5 linked regions of the Coturnix japonica genome follow. The protein of the gene in region 3 interacts with the protein of the main gene of each other region in a pairwise test. Links are inferred from orthologs where the notes say so. Each region holds a gene or a part of one and is shown on either strand. Other genes may lie near its edges. The genes, in order: NME7, TEX11, NEFL, SKIL and USP2.

Region 1 (3,620 bases), on a different chromosome or scaffold from region 3:
TGTTCAGTTACTAATGACAATACAGGGTAGATGCATTTGATAAGGTACTAGCTTTCTGCACAGACTGCAGGGAGGGAGAAGACCATTTTGAAGGATTCTAGCCAGCACCCATTAAGGTTACAACACCAATACTGCACTGAGAGAATCCACAAATCACAAGAATACTATTTCTACTGGCCCTACAGGGAGTAGGAAAGCTGAGCTGGGGCCCATGTTTGCCTTCTCTACCTTTTCTCTTCAGAGAAATCTGGAGGATGCAACATGCGACACCACAGATAAACTGGCCTTGAAGATGTATCAGGTGGGAGGGATAATGGTAGGTTTGCCCACAAGCAGGGAACTGTTTCCCTCCAGCTAACAGTATGCCAGATGACTCCAAACCTCATGCAGACTTGTGACTAATTCCTCCTTTTCCCACGGTACAGGAATCTTACCTCATTTCCAGCAAAGAACAACTACCCCAGTCACAAAGGAAGACTTAAAAAAACAACAGGTTTTCTTACCTCTCTTTGCGGCCCCCTAGCTTGCGCGCTGTATATTGATCCCCATAGTCCACTAAGGAAAGATGACGGGAAAACACAGTAATTTTGTTGCCCACAAACAGATCATCAAGGTGTAAGCTCTCATACTTGGTGCGCTTCAGAAAGGTACGATGGTTCTTCACATCATACTGCAGACAAAAGAAGATTAGAACCTACTACAGCAAGAGATCTTAAGCTGTTGGCAAACTCCACGTAATTCTTACTTTCCCTTCAGAAATTTCCATAGCTCTGTGGGATTTAATCTGATCATTAAATTGATTTAATTCTTAACCCTGTGAACTTGCACGTGCACCAGGAATGCTTAGAGGATAAAACCACACATTTGTTCCAGTTAAATAGTCTCAGGGTGATGGCTGTCTTCACAGTTTTTATTACTTGCTTGTGCTAATTCCAACTATGATAGATGCTTCACATCCCTTGTGGATATCTCTACCCAGTCTCAATGAGAATCCCCCACCCCCTCCAGCAAGTCCATGTTGTTTCACAGGCCAATGGTTTGAAGCAGTAGTGATCATAATACACACTGTGGCAGGTCTCCTCTTCAGGGCACTGTTCCAGTGATATTATGCTTTATTTGACTGCTTAAAACTCTGAATTAAGGATGGATGGATGGCTGCAGCACTACGTTGAGAAGTTCTCAACTGCCTAGAGCTGCAAGCTCAAAAGCCTGTCAAGACGATTCAGCTATGTATGGACATTCTGAGCAAGAAGGAAGACATTAATGTGAGATTTTCTGGGTGGATTGCTAAAGCACAAAAGACAACCTCACAAACAGTTTCTTCCCTGCTACAAGTAAATATTACAGATCCCTTCAATTTCTTGGAGAAACAATCTTAGAAAAGTTTTGTCCTCTTCAGGCTAAACTTTTTTTTTTATTTGATACTTTCTAAGCAGGATTCCATAATAAAATCATCCTTAGCTCTCACCTACATGCTCCAGCTCAGTGCTCTTCAGTTTCAAGAAGAGTCCTATTAACTGAATCATAGTTATTAACTATGGAAAACTTGGATAGTTGGAGATGGCTCTGTCTAAGTACCCAGTCTGATCACAAATGGTTGCTTGCTGTCCCTGGACAAAAACCTGTGCTGCTTTCTAACGGATGCAAAGCAAGCAGGAAACTGGTTGCATTATTTCCACTGTATTTTTCCTTCACGGGAAGGAGCAAGAAAGAAATGGGAAGTTGAGAACTTCACATAACATCAATGTCCAACAGCTCTATTCCACTTTCAGCTGAAGCATGTACAAAGGAAAGTTATCACTGCAGAGGTGAGAGAAAGGTGATGCAACTGCTCTCTCATAAGCAGAGAGAAGCCGGCTCTCGTCCATTACCTTTCTTCTCTGACAATGTACTAGAGGTAAAGTGAGCAGCTGCCATCTCCTCGGGAAGATACAAAAGATCCAGAAGAATTTTGCAGTAATGAAGAAGAAAAAAAAATGCCAAACTCCAAATAAGTTTTCAAAACCATAAATAAATCCAGAAGATAATCTCAAATGTAATTTCTGTCTACAATTCACCTCCAAACTGATCTTGTAGAATTCCTTCTGCAGAGATTCTACATGCATTTTTGCTTTTTTAGCAGTTATATTGATCACACGCAGTCCATGCAAACTCATGACTGCATACACACACTACCTCAACCCTGAGAACACAACTGACTAAATATAAGAACCTACCAAGTTGCAGATGTTTGATGCATAAAGCTCTAAGACAGCCAAAAGCACCTTGAAAGCTCTTGGTTTTGAGACATCCAGGAGAAATGAACAACAATTTTGTCAGCCTACACATGGCTGTGTAGGAAGATTATTACGGCTTCTGACTGATTAGCTTAACTGTGTCTAAGAAAAAAAAATCCTCACGTTTTGACAACTGTGCACACATATCATACAAATAACTAACTTAAAAGGGACAACATCATGGTGGAGTTTGTTTAAAGAGACTATCAGTAAAAAGTGCAAAGTGCATCTCCTCACACAGATGGGTACCGTGGTTTCAGTAAGCAATAGTTTGGATAAGAAAAGTAAGAAAAGGTAGATTCTGATAGTTCTGTTGTTTCTGTGTTTGATGTGTAAGGCAAGAAAGTTTAAGAACTATACTGAAATTAATAGATGTGAATACACAAATTTAGGCTATTCTTAGACCTTCATATGCTCATTAAAATCTAGAAAAGACTAGTAAAAGAATAAATAATCATTAATTCATTCAAAAGGGGAGCACAAAGCATTGGCTATTTTGTTGGATTACCTGTACAGGATTATCTGTACTATATGCTTGTTTTATCTTCATTTTTTTTTTATTGTTAGAAGGCTTAGTTAAATGTACCATAAAATCAGAAAGGTCCATACAAGCACCAATAAGGGGAAAAATTTGTATTCCATTCTCAGAAACATCCTTTCATGCATTAAAACCAAATTAGTTTACCGTTTCCTTCACTTTGATAGAAGTTGTTTACAGTTAATGCTTCAGAGGCTTCTAGAATTCTAACTGAAGCCTACTCTTGTTAGGAATCACCTTCAATTTGTTCCTGCAGTAGGTTGATGGTGCTGAGTTCCAATACTTAAATCCAAGAAAAGATTAAATAAAAACAGATCTGTGAAAATGAAATGCTCCAAGCTTAAGATAAAACTCGTTAACATGGCAGCTCTTGCATGTGCTCCACTATGAACTAGCACATTTGTTTTTCTTCTAGTTTGAAAAACAGACTTATGTCTTAAACTACAACTTAATTACCTGGAAAAACAAATGGCAGTGGTCCATTTTATAAATAGCTTAATTGAGTAATATATTTAAAATTACAGACTTTTTTATTCTTACCATTTCAACTGAGCTATCTTTTGGATAATACAGAAGCTCGTAACGCCGAAAGAGTGAAGCATTCGGGTCATACCATTCAGCAGTGAAAGCAAATCTGTCATCTTGACTCTGCAAAAACAAAAGGGAAGGCTACTGAAGTAATCATACACTTAATAAACTGTACCATTTCCTTGCATTTATTATCAGAAAAGTTAAAAAAATATATCATTATTGAATGCACTTGCACACCATCATTTGCTTAGTGCAGCTGGGGACATCTTTTCACT
Region 2 (3,620 bases), on a different chromosome or scaffold from region 3:
GGAGGCAGATTTTGGTAAGGCTGATGGCAGGTGAGCAGTGAAGTACAGCTGGTGGCTGTGGGAAACCTTGGAAACCTATTGCAGTTACTTTGGAAAGTGAGTGAGAGATGCCTGTAAATTATGGAAAGTGAGTGAGAGAAGATAACATGCTGAAGGTGGGCCCGTGTTATCAAAGGGATGCCTTGCTGAGTCAATGCAGTTAGCACCACATCTTTGTCGTGTGTTAAGACGTTGTAAGAGCAGCACGTTCATTTATTTCAGTATCTTACAGTGTTGTATAGTGGAGCACCTTAAGCCTCGTGCTGCAAGTAGAGTTAATTCAGATGTGAGAGACACTTGTGACAAACTGAAGAGCTGGAATACCTCTCACCTACACTATATATATATCAGTAAGAAGGGATTTAACACTGGCTGTCCTGGAAGTGATTGGATTTTCACAAAGCACCAATCATTTTCTCCTTCAGATGTCGATGAAAACTGGTAAAGGGTGGATAGATATTGGCAAAGCTGATCTTGCTGATGGTTTCCTAGAGATTGCTATAAATGTAAGTTCTTTTCTGATTCTAGTTCTTCATAAACACACCTATTTGTGACCTCCATGGGGTGATGCTTAAGCTTTGTTTTCCAGAGCATAGAAAAACTGTATGCGAAATTACGTAAGGAGGGCAATGGTGAAGCAGATATTCATGTGTGCAAAGCTGACGTGGAGAAGGACCTCTTCAAAGTGCTCTCTTATCAGGCTGAATCGGTACGTGTTCCTCCCAGCTCTCTTTATAAATCCCTAGGGGGGTATGGAGAGAAACTCTGACCCGTTAATTAGTTGTATGAATGCATGGCACTGCAGGCTTGCTGAAGGATATATTTCCTTTGGTTAGATGTAAGGTATCAGATGTGATGTTTGAATGTGGTGTTGCAATAATGTAATGGGTTTTAATTTGCCTAATTTATCGCAGTCATTTCTGCTGCCTTGTTTATATCTTCTCGTTCAGATTTGTTGCTCTGTAATTTGGGTGTTTATACAACAGCTGCCTTTCTGAATCACGTGTCAATTCCAAAGGTGACCTGTGCTTGCCCAAGGAAGGGGATAGAACTGCCTTAGAGCCTAGGTCCCTATAACTGCTTTTGTGTAGCATGTACACAGCACAATTGGTCATTTCAAAGCACTCCTCAGACTGTGCTGGGATTTGCAACTAAACTGTTTGAAAAGCAAAAGAAGGTGCTGGTGGTGGTTCATGTCTGACAAGCAGATGTTCTGAGCCACAGCTCCAGAGTTTTCTCTACCTTACAAGTTTCTTGACTCTTATGAGCAATATAATCAAAGGTATTACTGTTCAATGTTGTTGGATAGAAACCTTCCTATACATGGATACCCTCCTTTCCATGAACCCCAATACATGCTGCTTTTCACATATAAAGGCCTTGAAACAGTGGGAGAATGGGTAGAAAAAGGCAATATTTGAAAATAATGAGTTCCATGACATTTGAAATTCTCCTTAAAGTCTCAGCCTCTGTCATCATACAACGAGGTAGGAATTATGATTGATAATTTAAAGATAGAAGTCTAGCTGAATGTGAGAGGTTTCAAAATATGCTGAGTGTTTTCCAGGGGATCAGTAAGGCAGATTAAATCAGAAATTCTGTGTTTTGAGAGGCATTGTCCTGATTTTTGCTGCCTGACTGAAGCTTCTGAGTACTTTGTCAACACTGCAGACTATTATGGACGTATGGGTGTAAATATGAGATAATTCAGCTGCTTCCATTTGCTGATAGCAGCGCTGATCTCAGAATCCAGAAGGGGAGCACTGTCTTCAAAACAATGAAGAGCTTCCCCAAACAGACCAAATCAGTGGCCAGAATTTTTCATTTAATTTCTAGTTGATAATGGAGACAAAAGAGAATCACTCAGAATGACCCGGGTTGGAAGGGACCTCAAGTATCATGTAGTTCCAACCCCCCTGCCTAGCAGGGCCACCAAACATACACCTTTACTAGATCAGGTTGCCCATGGCCCCGTCCAACCTGGTCTTGAACACCTCCAAGGACGGGGCATCCACAACCTCCCTGGGCAGCCTGTTCCAGGGCCTAACCACTCTCCTAGTGAAGAAAAAGAGGACCTTACATTACTGGAAAGGTGTTGCAAGATTTGTTAAGCTGGCCAAGATTTGCTGTTATCTGACATCTGTTTGAATCAGTGCCACGGATCTGACCTTTTCACACTACCTGTGGGCTGCAGGGCCCTCCTGGATGCCTTTCAGTGTGTAAAAGTGTACTGAACTATTGTAGCACCATAAGGACAGATGTCTGATCTCAAACTTGGCTGTACTGAATGCAAAAAAAGGCCTACAATCCAAGTCTTTTTTTTTAGACACCCAGTCTTGTAACAGATTTTAGAGGCAAGTAGTTAACTTACAGATTGTTGGCGTGCTCTGCTTTCCTAGGCAGTTGCTCAGGGGGATTTTCAGAAAGCAATGCAATGTGTGCAGCGCTGCAAGGACATGTTGGTGAGGCTGCCAAGAGAGGTTAGTGAAATCATACCTTCTTTATCATGCCAAACTTTGAAGGTCTATTTTCCTCCCCATACATTAAAGAATGACATATGCTACATTACAGAACTGTTTCTTTGGGATTTTCTTAACTGCAAGTTTTGTGTAGAAGTGATGAGGTTTTTTTTCATTCCAAGTTTTGAGTTTTTCCATTTGCTCATAGATTATCATTTGAAATAGAACGATAAAACCTTCCTAACGAATGTGTGAAGGCAAATATCCAAGACAGGCAAAAGGATTTCTAAATAGAGTATGACAGTCAAACAGCTGTGCCTCTTGATCTTGTGTCTTGCTTCTTTGCTTTTACCGGTGAACTTTTGTCTGGAAACAGGTGTGCCCAGAGATGAGCTGAGCTGCTGGGCTTTTGATATGCAAGTCTACCCTCAGTACTAATCTTCATGTTAATGAAGCTGCAGAGCTATGGGAACGCTCACTGCTCAGAGAGCTGCCAGGTTTATGGGAGTGCTTTGTGTTATGCACCATGCCTGAAATACAGTCGTTCACTCTGTTTTAGTTATGAGAGCGATCATTTTTTTTTTTTTCACCCGCACTGAATCTGTGCTTTTGTCTCTGGATTGCAATGAGGTCAGAAATAAATCAGTTTAAAGCAAGATGCTGTTCTCCAGCTCTCATTCTTGGCTGAGGGTTTGAATTCCCTTGCAAGGAGCACGTTTTGTACTTTGAAAAGACAGTTACCACGGAGGCGAAATGGATGCAAATATTAGCAGTCTGCTAGCATTGAAAATGCTTTTCTGTCTCCTCTTTGGACAGCTGTGAACATGACAGTTGCAAATCATTTCTGCTGAAAGACGAGTTGTTATGAACAGATACTGTCAGGCCTGACTGATAAAGCAGAAAGCAATGGTACTCTGAATAACCACGCATTCAGTCTGAATAACCAAGCATTCAAACACATATTTCTCCTCGATCTGGTGGTGTGGATCATCCTTTTATAATGCAAAGGTGCATGCTGGAAAAAAAGGGCTGTCATGCAGGAGGTGGAGTTCTGTTCATTGAATGATACAAAATTAAAGCTCATTAGTCATTTTTGAAAAGGAAGTTATAACATTCCATCCT
Region 3 (4,378 bases):
ACACCTTCATATCTTGGCACTGCTGGAGAAGAAAAATGGGTTTTCCATCATTTTCCCTCTCTAAAATGATATAAAAAAGACATATAAATAATAATGGACTACAATTATGACCCTTATTGTTATGAGATTTGGAGTGAAGGTATTGAAGGCTCAGAATTAAATTGGGAAGAGAGTAGTGTTAATCCATTGGCTTGATACAGAGCATGTCAGTTTGCACTTCTTGAGTATCCCAGAACTATTTGTTATTTAGAAGCTCATTGAATTTCCAAACAAACCTACTGTGAGTCTTCCCATCTGCTACAGTGCCTACGTTGCTCATTTACTTCCCCACGTGCTCTGCAATCTACACAATCTTACTGTGAAGGAGCAACGTGCGAGCTTTTATTTGCTCTTTGCACGCTTGATTCCATCCAACGTGAGCTCAAATGAGAAGAGATTACAGCTTTCTGCCTTTGAGGGGCCATTGCCTTACACAGCTTAATACACCTCACCATCAAGTACAGTGTAACCTATGGGAGTGATACTAAACAACAGGTAATATTCTGAGAGCACTAGAAGATAGAAAGGAACCCAATGAAACCATCCCTGCCTCGCTTTTATTATATGATTCACATTAAGCAAGCTTATCTTTATGCAAGAAATAACCTGAGCACCATTGCAATTGGTGACAGGTACACAGATTCTACTTCTTTCTCCTTTCCTTAGGGAGCAAGAGAAGGTTTTTGCAGTACTTCCTGCTAAGAAATGCTGCTTCAGCATTTGCTTCTTCCTTAAGCAAAACCTGGAAAGTGTATTGGACTAAAATTAGCCCTTCTAAGTCAGAGAGACAACATAGAGACAACGTACCACCACCTTTTGGGCTATGTTTCCCTATTTCATTTTTAAGATGCAATCTCTGCTGTGTAAATACTGTTTTATTCTTCTTAGCAGCTCATAACCTGGGCCAGGGGTAGCTGTGATGGAGCCATGCAGCTTTAGTCTCTGCTGTAGTCAGATTGTGCCAAATATTCAGACCTTATGCTCTAAATTTGCCCCTGTGAGTGTTTCAAAGGATGAAGCAAAGCTGAATAACCAAGAATTAATGCATTTTGCTGGTACAACAAACCACATACTGTCTTTTCTTTCACCATTACCTGGTCATTAGGAACCACTGCTAACAATGCACGTGGTGAGGACGGAGGGAGAAAGGCTGGAGCCTCGCTGGAACTGCAAACATAAAGGGGAAAGGAAGGTGAAATGAGCTATTTATACACACGTTCAGGGGTTTCTGAGGTACGAGAGGGGGTGATGAGGTACAGAGGGGTGATGGTTCAATATCGTGATCCGAGATGGGGCTTTGCAACCCCGGGGATCCATCAGAGCGGCACGAGAGAAAATAGCGATGTGGGGCGAATACGATGGAGCTGCAAAGTGAACGCAGCCCACCCGCTTCATCACCAGCTCTGATAATCATCCGGGCTCATCACAGACCCCCACCATTACAGCAGCCTCAACGCAGCGCTCCGCCCCATCCCCGCCCGGCTGTCGTTCCTCCCACCCTCCCCGTCCATAAATACCAGCGTTCGGGCGGTACCGGTCCGCAGAGCCCTCGCTGATCCCCTCTACAGCCATGAGCTCGTACGGCTACGACCCGTTCTTCCCCTCTTACAAGCGGCGTTATGCTGACAGCCCCCGGCTGCACGTCTCCGCGATGCGGAGCGGTGGTTACAGCTCAGCTCGCTCGGCGTATTCCAGCCTCTCCGCACCCGTCTCCTCCGTGTCTGTGCGCCGCAGTTACGCCACCTCCAGCGCTTCAGGCTCCCTCCTGCACTCGGTAGACAGCCTAGATCTAAGCCAGGTAGCCGCCATCAGCAACGACCTCAAGTCGATCCGTAGCCAAGAGCGGGCCCAGCTGCAGGATCTCAATGACCGCTTCGCTTGTTTCATCGAGCGGGTGCACGAGCTGGAGCAGCAGAACAAAGTGCTGGAGGCCGAGCTGCTGGTGCTGCGGCAGAAACACGCCGAGCCGTCCCGTTTCAGAGCCCTCTACGAGCAGGAGATCCGCGAGCTCCGCTTGGCCGCCGAGGAAGCGACGAGCGAGAAGCAAGCGCTGCAAGGAGAGAGGGAGAGCTTGGAGGAGACCCTGAGGGGGCTGCAGGCTCGCTACGAAGAGGAGGTGCTGAGCCGCGAGGATGCTGAGGCTCGACTGCTGGAGGTGCGCAAGGGAGCGGATGAAGCAGCGCTGGCACGAGCGGAGCTGGAAAAGCGCGTGGACAGCCTGCTGGATGAGCTGGCCTTCCTTAAGAAGGTGCACGAGGAAGAGCTGGCCGAGCTGCAAGCTCAGATCCAATACGCTCATCTGTCGGTGGAGATGGACGTGTCGGCCAAGCCCGATCTGTCGGCTGCGCTGCGCGATATCCGCGCTCAGTACGAGAAGCTGGCGGCTCGTAACATGCAGAACGCCGAGGAATGGTTCCGAAGCCGCTTCACTGTGCTCAGCGAAAGCGCTGCTAAGAACACAGACGCCGTCCGAGCCGCCAAGGATGAGGTATCCGAGAGCCGCAGGCTGCTTAAGGCCAAGACGCTGGAGATCGAAGCTACCCGTGGTATGAACGAAGCGCTGGAGAAGCAGCTGCAGGAGCTGGAGGAGAAACAGAGCGCTGATATCTCAGCGCTGCAGGTGAGTTGGTTTGAGGAGGCTGCGGATGCACAGCGATATCTCGTGGCATAGTGCAGCATTGTGGTCTGAGGCATCCTTAAGGATGCTGCTATAAATCGCCTTAACAGTAGGAAAAGCATTAAGGGGAATGCACATGCATCAAAAACCAGCAGCAAAACAAAGCACAGGCAGCTTTTTAGACCTTAAATAAGAGAATTAGTATAAATGCACTTAAAATATCCCGGTTAAACTAGGGGTAGATGTTAAAAAATCAAATAAAGCATGCACAGCTCATGGATTCCTTAGTGCTTAAATAATCAAATAGCTAGGAATTGGCTTAAAAATAGCATTAGTGCTAGAGAGAGCGTAAGGGAAAAGCACAGATGTCATAAATGAAGTGGGGTATATGCTGCTCATAGATGCTTCTGTCCTCAAATTGCAATGAATTCACTTAGCATTAGGAAAAGCATGAGGGGGAAGCGCAGTTGTCAATGAAGCATGCACAGCTCATGAATGCTTTAGCCCTTGAATCATAAGAAATGTTATTCCTTAAATGATAGGGAATGAAGCTATTGATAGAGATGTAGGGGTGGAAGATGTGCCAGCATTGCTAAGCAGTGTTGCTTTGTGCACTTTGGGATGTGGAGCTGTTCTCCTTCTATCAAGGTGAAGTGATGAGGGTGCTGGAATTCTTGCAAGCATTGTTGATATACACAAAGGTTTTTTGCATTGCTTGTGTTCTGCCTTCCAACAGGATACAATCAACAAACTAGAGAATGAATTGAGAACCACAAAGAGCGAGATGGGTCGGTACCTAAAGGAATACCAGGATCTGCTCAACGTCAAACTGGCCCTGGACATTGAGATTGCTACCTACAGGTATGATGGGGGAGGTGTTTCAATAAACCATAATGTGAATTAGGTTCTCCTTTTTATGCGTATTCCTACTTAGTTTTCCTCCAGCAGAGAGTGCCATTGGTGGCAGAATTTAATAAGATTTTCTCCTTGGCTTTCTATTTGGAAGAAGCAGCGCTTTTAAGGTAACAGCTTGTGTTAAACAGAATCTGTGCTGCATAGCAAACATGAACATCATACTGTTCATATATATATATATATGCATAGGGAATTAGGAACTCAGCTGTGTAATCTCAGTTCTCCATCTTTACAAGTAAAGTGTGTTCTTGTACCTAGGAGCTCAAATCTCTTCGCTCTACAATGCTTTTATATCATTAAGACTTGTTAATATAGGTGGCTTTATTCTCAGGACTTAAAATCCCTTAGACACCTTTAACAATGAGGTTTCTTTCTAACTCACAAGCTGTGCCTTGCTAAGCCATTATCTTACTAAAGAATTACTTTTAAATAGCAAAAAGAAATCATCCTGGATGCCAGTAAGTGCTGAAATGGTTTCTAAGAGCCCCACAGGGGGAATACTGAAGGTGGCTATAAACCTTGTCTTACAGTTAACTGTGGCATAGAGCTGTTACATCCATACTGTTGTCTGGAACAACATAGCTTATTGAAATACATCTGTATTTCTACCTGTTGTAGAAACCTAATCCTGGGGGTGTGTTCCCCATTGTTTCTCCCAATGAGAAGTACTGATTCCAAAGTAATACACAACTCTGAAGCTTTAAAATTTTCCCAAGATCAGGCTGCTATTGCTGTACCATTAATATGGTTATATTTGCACTCCTGAGTATGCAGCCTCTAGAGCTTGTGCTGCTCAAAGCATATTGG
Region 4 (3,620 bases), on a different chromosome or scaffold from region 3:
TAAGTGAAGAGCAGCAGAATTTGCAAAAAGAACTCGAATCTTTGCAAACCGAACACGCTCAAAGAATGGAAGAGTTTTATTTTGAGCAGAGAGACTTGGAGAAGAAATTGGACCAAATGATGAAGCAGAAGTGTACCTGTGACTCCAGTTCAGAGAAAGACAAGGAAGCAGAATATGCAGCACAGGTGAGAAGGGAAAGTCTGTTTCAAACCAAATCATGTTTAGTGCGTGAGTGAATATGAAGTTATTGCTCATCAACTGCAAGGTTTCGTCTTCTCCATCTTAGTCACAGCGATAGCAGATTTACTTCCTTGTCCCTTGATTGAGACAGAGCTAAAATGTAGCTTATAGAAACATGTCGCCTGTCAGATGTTAGGATTTTCTTTGTCAGATATTTGTATGATATGACTGATTAAATAGTTAAACATAAGGATTATGACATTCTAAGCAAGTCACGTTTAATGTATATAAGCTTGTCCGTGTTATAGAACTAAGCACAATTGCTTTGGCTATAGAAACGTGTTGAAGTACATTGTACTGCACTTCTGTACGTTGCACAGAAAACAGTCTTTTGAAACAAACAAAATCTTAAACTTAAGCTTTACGGTCACAATTATAGTTCTGTATATTTGCTGTTCATACAGTCTTAAAATAAGAAACAGGTTCTACTTGAGATACAGGTTTTTGTATTTTTAGGGAGTAGGGCAGAGACTAGCACCATAAATCCTTCTCATGAATTTAATTTCATGACATCCCACTCCACGGATTCCTGGCCTTTGCTGCCAGAAGTAATCCTCTCTGACTAAGGTCTGATTTACCAAACATCTGGTACAAGCCCTGTTACTGCAAGTAACAACATGTTCTAGTTGATGATCATGTGTAGCGTGTTTTATATGGCTTGTCTAGCATATACTTTCTTTAGAGGATAAAAACAATGGATTGTTCTCCAAGGAGTTTGGATGATTTTTTCTTTTGATGTTAGAATGCTAAATGTATTCCTCCCATGAAAGTTTATCCTGTTATTAGTTGTACTGTAGAGCTACTTGGAACATGTCATTGGAATCTTTTTCTCCATTTATCACATCTTACAGTACACTTTGGATCATGGGTTCCAAGCAGTTGTCAGCTGTACCTGAGTTAAACAGAGGTCGTGACAACAGTTATTTTCCCCAAGCTGCATATATTGCATTTAAAATAGCCTTAATGTGATGTTTTCTTGAAGCCAGCTGCCCTCTCTGAGAACTGTGGACTGGGAAAAGCCTTCATTGTACATTAAATGAAATTAATAATAGGGGATTTGGAGTTTTGGTAAACATTTGTTCTTCTGTCCAGGCCTGTCTGAAGGTGCACGAAGTGTTCCCCCTTTTTTCAGTCCTTTACTGACTTACCCGGTTTAATTGTTGCTTTACCCCATCAGTCACAATAGGGCAGTATAACCAGTACTTAAGCCTTTCTTTATAGGTGAAAACAAAAGCTCCACCACAGACATGCTGATTTTGTATTGCGTGCTGTGACATGCAGGCAATGGGCATTGCTGTGCTGCACCAGTCTGCATCTAAGTAGTGGAGTCAGAAGACTCACATTAATAGGCTCATGCTGTCTGAAAGCTACTTACATTCAATGAATGTTCATCTTGTATAAGGAGAAGTATTTTTCTGTAAAATTGATACAGGAGTTCCTTTTCTCACTGCACTTTACAGCAAACAGCAATGTTTTTATGTGCTTCTGCACTTCTTTGCTGTCATGAGCTGTCTTTTATCAGCGAGATGTACACGTAGTGATTATTCAGATGGAAGCCCAACATCGTAAGTGCAGAAGGATTTTAGATTCAGTGAGGTCTTTTCTTAAGAAACAACTACTTAAACCCATGGTAGAGAAGATAAGTGGCTTTCGTCTTCCTGTTGTGACTGCTGGTGGTATACATATAAGCAACTTGGCAGTAACTTTGCCACACTTGAAAGATTCATCTGAGTTGTATTGTGAAGAAGTTTTGGTGGGAAAGAACAGACCCTAATAAATTCAAAGTAGTTTCTTATTATTAATACAAGGTATGGTATTTATATGCATATACAAACAGTGGTTGTTAAGCTGTTTTTTGGTTTTATTTTAATGATTCCATTTTGTAAATGGTTCAGCTGAGATGACTAATGTTCTGAATCATTGGGGTTTACCACTGATTTTCTACTGTGTAGTTACTTGGTTCAGTCTGAAAGTCCAGCTTTAATAAATTAGACTCAAACAACTGAACACATCACACGTGGGATTAACACTCTTCTGCTGATGCCGTTAGTGGTTTGACAGTCTCATGCAAAACTCTTTGCTTTACTCTCTATTATATTGCACAAATATTTTTGTTAAAATTAAATCCTTCTCCTCTATCTTACAGCTAGCAGAACTGAGACAGAGGCTGGACCACGCAGAGGCAGATAGACAGGAGCTTCAGGATGAACTGAGACAAGAACGAGAGGCGAGGGAGAAGTTAGAGATGATGATAAAAGAATTGAAGCTGCAGATCTTGAAATCTTCAAAACATGGAAATGGAAAATAGAAATTGGAAGACGAGTGTGACTGTGTCCTTCAAACAGGGTGTTTCGTTTTTTAACGAATTGTAAGCAGTTTCTGTGTGATAAGAAGTATTCTCTACAGATTTCTATTTGCCATACAAATGCAGATGAATATATATATATATAAGAAGATAGATAGGTACGCGTTTTTAGATTTTCCTAACCAATGGAAATCTGCATTTATTTGTACTGGTGTTTCTCAAACTAGGAGAAAATAAGAAACTTCTGATTTAGAGTGACCAGTTTCTGTTTAGTTCTAATGCAGCCCTTGAGGACCCTGTACCTTTTAACACTGTCTGTTAAAACAGATTTGGTGATCCGTATTTTACTATCGATTTCACACCCGGTTATAAAAGTACTTTAAAAAAAAAATCTTAATTTCTTCAAGGCCAAAAATAGTTGAGTTTTCAGTGAGAATTTTGTCTTCCTTAAACTGGGGAAAGTCGAAAGGCAGATGTGAGGTAATCCTCAAAATCACCATGACAATGGATGGATGATTATCAGAAGTGATTTACCGGCATGAGTTTTCCATAATTCTGTTACGTGAAGTCAAGCTAACTTATTCAGTAAACAGTTTTGGAGCAGGTGTTTGGTCACCGTGCTGGAAGAACAAAACAATTAGAGGTTGGTAGCTATAGGACAAGGGGCAGTGATTTGAAGTTGAAAGAAAGTAGAATTTATTTGTTGGCTAATGGTGAGACCCTGGAGCACGTCGCCCAACAAAGTGTTGAGTACCTCATCACTGTAAGTGTTCAAAGTGAGGTTGGACGGCGCTTTGTGCAACCTGATCTGGTGGAGGGTGTCCCTCCATGTCCCATGGCACAGAGGTAGCAGCTAGATGATCTTTGACTGTCCCTTCCAGCACAGACTTGTGGATTCCATGGCTTGCCTGGTTTTCAGATACTAATGCTTCCAAGGAAAGTAATATTTATTAAAAGAAACAAAAAAAAAGTACTGGTTTATTTAGTATCTGAAGCCTCTACACTTTAAGCTTCCTTTTAACTTGTGAATTTTTCTTTCTATACATGGAACAGGCCTTAACTGACATTGTGATAA
Region 5 (3,620 bases), on a different chromosome or scaffold from region 3:
GCAGCCTCAGGGACTCCCCAGCCACCGCCGCTGCCGCGTGAGCCAGCTCTGCTCTGCCTCCTATGAGCCCAGCCGTGTCCTAGATAAAGCCCCGGCCGGGCGAGGGGGATTAGCTGGAGTTGAGTCACCCAGGGAAGGGAAAACGTGAGGGGGAAATCTGACCTTGGTGCAGCCACGGCCACGGCATTGGGGTTCTTGTGCATCCTTACCCCATGGAAAGGGATGGGGGCTGTGGGGCCGCTGGGCCAGCTCCGTGCTGCGGGCATGGTTTGCATGCAGAGCCACGTGTGCCCGGCATGGGGCACCTGGGTGCCCATCGGTGCTGTGCCCCTGCTCTGGGTGATGCCTGCAGCATCGCTATGGCACACGTGTAACTGTATCTGGGTTATTTTGGGCTGCTGTCAGGGCTGGGTGCTCAGCACCTCCCACACGCGCACCAGCTGCTGCTATTTTAGAGCTGACGAGCCCCCTCCTCTCCTCCTCCTCCCCCAACTCACGCCTGGGGGTGGACCGGGAGTTGTGGCTGTGATGGGTGCAGGTCGGGAGGTTCGCCCTGTCAACGCCTTCTCTGGACTTTATCCCACAATACAGCCATGCTTCTGGAGGGTGGCACATGTATGGGGTGCCCTGGAGGGATGGGCAGCAGCAGGACACCCCATTGAGCCATAGGGCAGGCATGGAGCACAGCCACCCCCGGCTTCCCAGGGCATAGGGTTGGCAGGGAGAGGCAGGGGGTGGCCAGTGTAGCCTGCAGGGCATAGGGCAGCAAGAAGGACTTTGAGCCTTGGGAGTCATCCCAGGCCAGGCAGCTGGGTGAGCAATGGGTCCTCAGGCTTCTCCTATGCATGGCAGTGCCAAGAGCGCCCCAAATGCCCCCACATGCCCATGTGGGGCTGCCCCACAGGGGTGCTGGTGGCCCCACGGGCTGCTCACAGGCAGCCTGTCACAGCCCTGCTCCTTCTCTCTGCAGAGCTCCAAGGCGGTGCAGGGACTGACTGGGCTGCGGAACCTCGGCAATACGGTGAGTGCTCATCCCCTTCTGTAGGCACAGCCCCAGCCCACAAAGTGCCATTCTATGGGCACATTAAGGACCCCAGCATCCAGTGGTGCAGGTGGACAAACCCTTCCCCACTCTCCCCCCTGCTCTGTCCCCATCTCCTGCCCACCCGCCCCAAGGTCCCCCCCTGTCACCACCCGCCTCCCTCCCTCCGCCTCACGTTGCCATGGTTTTCTGCCTCCCCCAGTGCTTCATGAACTCCATCCTGCAGTGCCTGAGCAACACCAAGGAGCTGCGGGATTACTGCCTGCAGAACCAGTACCTGCGGGACCTCAACAACAACAGCCGCATGCGCACCGCGCTCATGTCAGGTATCAACAGTGGGGTTGGGGGTGGAGGGGGGCAGGATGGGGACAGCAGTGGGGCTCATTCCCCCTCCCCATATCGCTGAGCTTCCTTTCTGTACGCAGAGTTTGCAAAGCTGATCCAGCTGCTCTGGACCTCATCCCCCAATGACAGCGTGAGCCCTTCCGAGTTCAAGACGCAGATCCAGAGATACGCCCCACGTTTTGTTGGATACAAGTAGGGACCGGCGGTGTGGGGCTGGTAATGTGGGTCTCATGGGGGTCTCACATCCGTCTCCTTTTGCCTTACAGCCAGCAGGATGCACAAGAGTTCCTGCGCTTCCTCCTGGATGGGCTGCACAGTGAGGTGAACCGTGTGCTGGTGCGGCCACGAGCCAGTGCTGACACCCTGGACCACCTCCCGTAAGTGTGGGGTGGGCAGTGGGGTGGGGGCTGGATGCCTGGAGGTCCCAGCATTGCTCAGCAGCTCTGTCCCTCTGTCTCATAGTGATGATGAGAAGAGCCGCCAGATGTGGCGGAGGTACCAGGAGCGGGAGGACAGCCGTGTTACTGGTGAGTATATGGGGAGGGGAGGGGGCAGGCAGGGGGCTGGGGCTGGGGGTCTCACCCTTCTCCATCCTTTCGCCCCCAGATCTCTTTGTTGGGCAGCTGAAGAGTTCGCTGACCTGCAGCGAATGCGGCTACTGCTCCACAGCCTTTGATCCCTTCTGGGACCTCTCCCTGCCCATCCCCAAGGTGAGGTGCTATTCCCTGTCCCCCCACCCCACACATTGTGCCCCATACCCTGTGCCCCTGACTGTGCCCTCCTCCTACAGAAAGGCTACGGGGAAGTCACCCTGATGGACTGCCTGCGGCTCTTCACCAAAGAAGACGTTCTGGATGGGGATGAGAAACCGGTACGGGGTGTGGGATGGGGGCACAGGGAGTTAATGGGTGTAGGATGGGATCTCACCGTACTGCTCACTGCCTGCAGACGTGTTGTCGCTGTAAAGCCAGGACGCGGTGCACGAAGAAATTCAGCATCCAGAAGTTCCCCAAGATCCTGGTGCTCCGTATCCTTTGTACTGATAAATGGGGTTGGTGGGGCTGGCATGGGGTGGCAGCTCTTTGCAGGCTCCCTATTGCTCCCCATTTCCTTGACATGGGACCCCCTCCAGACCTGAAACGCTTCTCAGAATCCAGGATACGAGCCAGCAAACTCACCACCTTTGTCAACTTCCCACTGAAGGACCTGGACCTGAGGGAGTTCGCCTCGCAGAGCTGCAGTAAGTGCTGGTGCTGGGAGGGCAGAGCTCAGAGCTCACGTGTGGGCACCACTGATCCTCACCCTGTCCCCACAGACCACGCTGTTTACAACCTCTATGCCATCTCCAACCACTCGGGCACCACCATGGGGGGACACTACACTGCCTACTGCAAGAGCCCCATCTCCAGCGAGTGGCACAGCTTCAATGATTCCCGGTGAGGCTGCGCAGGTGGCACGGGGAGGGGGGACCTCGTGTGGGCACCCCATTGCTCATAGTGCATCTCCTTGTATCTCTGCAGCGTCACCCCGATGTCCTCCAGCCACGTGCGCAGCAGTGATGCTTACCTGCTCTTCTACGAGCTGGCCAGCCCATCCTCACGCATGTAGCCAGTCCTTGGGCACCCCTTGGAGCTTCCTAGCTGGATTTGGGCACCCCAAGAACAGCAGAAAGCCCCATAATGAGGGCAGAACCCAGGCAGCCCCGGTGCCTCTGGGCCGCTGGCATTTGCTTTTTACCCTGGGGTAGGTTTTTCTTCATTCTTTCTGGTGTGTAATAAAAATACTGAGCAAGGGGCCTGGGGCTGCCTGCCCCCACCAGGACCTCGGGGACACCCAAAATTGGGTCCCTTCTGGCATCTCCATATCACTCTGCCATCCCTGAGGATCCACGAGCCTCCTCCCAGCTCTTCCAAACCTCCTGGTGAGGATTGCAGCTCTTTGGTTGCCTCCATCCCACCTCCATCTGCTTTCCAATCAGCCCCGGACTCACAGCCAAGAGGGAGGACAATGCTTCATGGATTTTCTTTCTATTTATCATGGACTTCTCTCAGCCTGGACCATCCCTCCTGGCTGCCCAGGGACTCACGCCAGGGGGGGGCTGACCCACCTCCTTATACGACGGTGCCTTAAACCATTTCGGGGCACGGGAGGCCCTTGGGGTGCACAGGGATGTCCGTCCTATGGGGGGTGGGGGGGTGGGCAGCACCTTTCCAGTACTGGGGCTTTCCTCCCC

Evidence for each region.
Region 1: the proteins of NEFL (region 3) and NME7 interact in binary tests that used the Homo sapiens proteins (3 or more experiments, as listed by UniProt). The two-hybrid records come from large-scale screens. The link is inferred for Coturnix japonica from reciprocal best matches to the Homo sapiens genes NEFL and NME7.
Region 2: the proteins of NEFL (region 3) and TEX11 interact in a two-hybrid assay, tested with the Homo sapiens proteins (2 studies listed by BioGRID and IntAct). The two-hybrid records come from large-scale screens. The link is inferred for Coturnix japonica from reciprocal best matches to the Homo sapiens genes NEFL and TEX11.
Region 4: the proteins of NEFL (region 3) and SKIL interact in binary tests that used the Homo sapiens proteins (3 or more experiments, as listed by UniProt). The link is inferred for Coturnix japonica from reciprocal best matches to the Homo sapiens genes NEFL and SKIL.
Region 5: the proteins of NEFL (region 3) and USP2 interact in binary tests that used the Homo sapiens proteins (3 or more experiments, as listed by UniProt). The two-hybrid records come from large-scale screens. The link is inferred for Coturnix japonica from reciprocal best matches to the Homo sapiens genes NEFL and USP2.

Annotation. Positions count from the first base shown.
Region 1 is NC_029516.1:74,973,266-74,976,885, reverse strand, and holds part of NME7 (nucleoside diphosphate kinase 7), read right to left. Parts: intron 3,463-3,620; coding exon 3,355-3,462; intron 671-3,354; coding exon 504-670; intron 1-503. UniProt on the Homo sapiens protein: Possesses an intrinsic kinase activity. Displays 3'-5' exonuclease activity with a preference for single-stranded DNA. Does not seem to have nucleoside diphosphate kinase activity.
Region 2 is NC_029519.1:2,399,158-2,402,777, forward strand, and holds part of TEX11 (testis-expressed protein 11), read left to right. Parts: coding exon 1-14; intron 15-464; coding exon 465-545; intron 546-628; coding exon 629-748; intron 749-2,438; coding exon 2,439-2,519; intron 2,520-3,620. UniProt on the Homo sapiens protein: Regulator of crossing-over during meiosis. Involved in initiation and/or maintenance of chromosome synapsis and formation of crossovers.
Region 3 is NC_029537.1:2,098,515-2,102,892, forward strand, and holds the start of NEFL (neurofilament light polypeptide), read left to right. Parts: upstream 1-1,560; 5' UTR 1,561-1,609; coding exon 1,610-2,659; intron 2,660-3,392; coding exon 3,393-3,560; 3' UTR 3,561-4,378. UniProt on the Homo sapiens protein: Neurofilaments usually contain three intermediate filament proteins: NEFL, NEFM, and NEFH which are involved in the maintenance of neuronal caliber.
Region 4 is NC_029524.1:17,510,162-17,513,781, reverse strand, and holds part of SKIL (ski-like protein), read left to right. Parts: coding exon 1-185; intron 186-2,386; coding exon 2,387-2,548; 3' UTR 2,549-3,620. UniProt on the Homo sapiens protein: May have regulatory role in cell division or differentiation in response to extracellular signals.
Region 5 is NC_029539.1:3,563,952-3,567,571, forward strand, and holds part of USP2 (ubiquitin carboxyl-terminal hydrolase 2), read left to right. Parts: intron 1-970; coding exon 971-1,021; intron 1,022-1,244; coding exon 1,245-1,368; intron 1,369-1,467; coding exon 1,468-1,579; intron 1,580-1,653; coding exon 1,654-1,764; intron 1,765-1,849; coding exon 1,850-1,914; intron 1,915-1,993; coding exon 1,994-2,097; intron 2,098-2,177; coding exon 2,178-2,258; intron 2,259-2,335; coding exon 2,336-2,414; intron 2,415-2,519; coding exon 2,520-2,627; intron 2,628-2,702; coding exon 2,703-2,823; intron 2,824-2,907; coding exon 2,908-2,995; 3' UTR 2,996-3,620. UniProt on the Homo sapiens protein: Hydrolase that deubiquitinates polyubiquitinated target proteins such as MDM2, MDM4 and CCND1. Isoform 1 and isoform 4 possess both ubiquitin-specific peptidase and isopeptidase activities.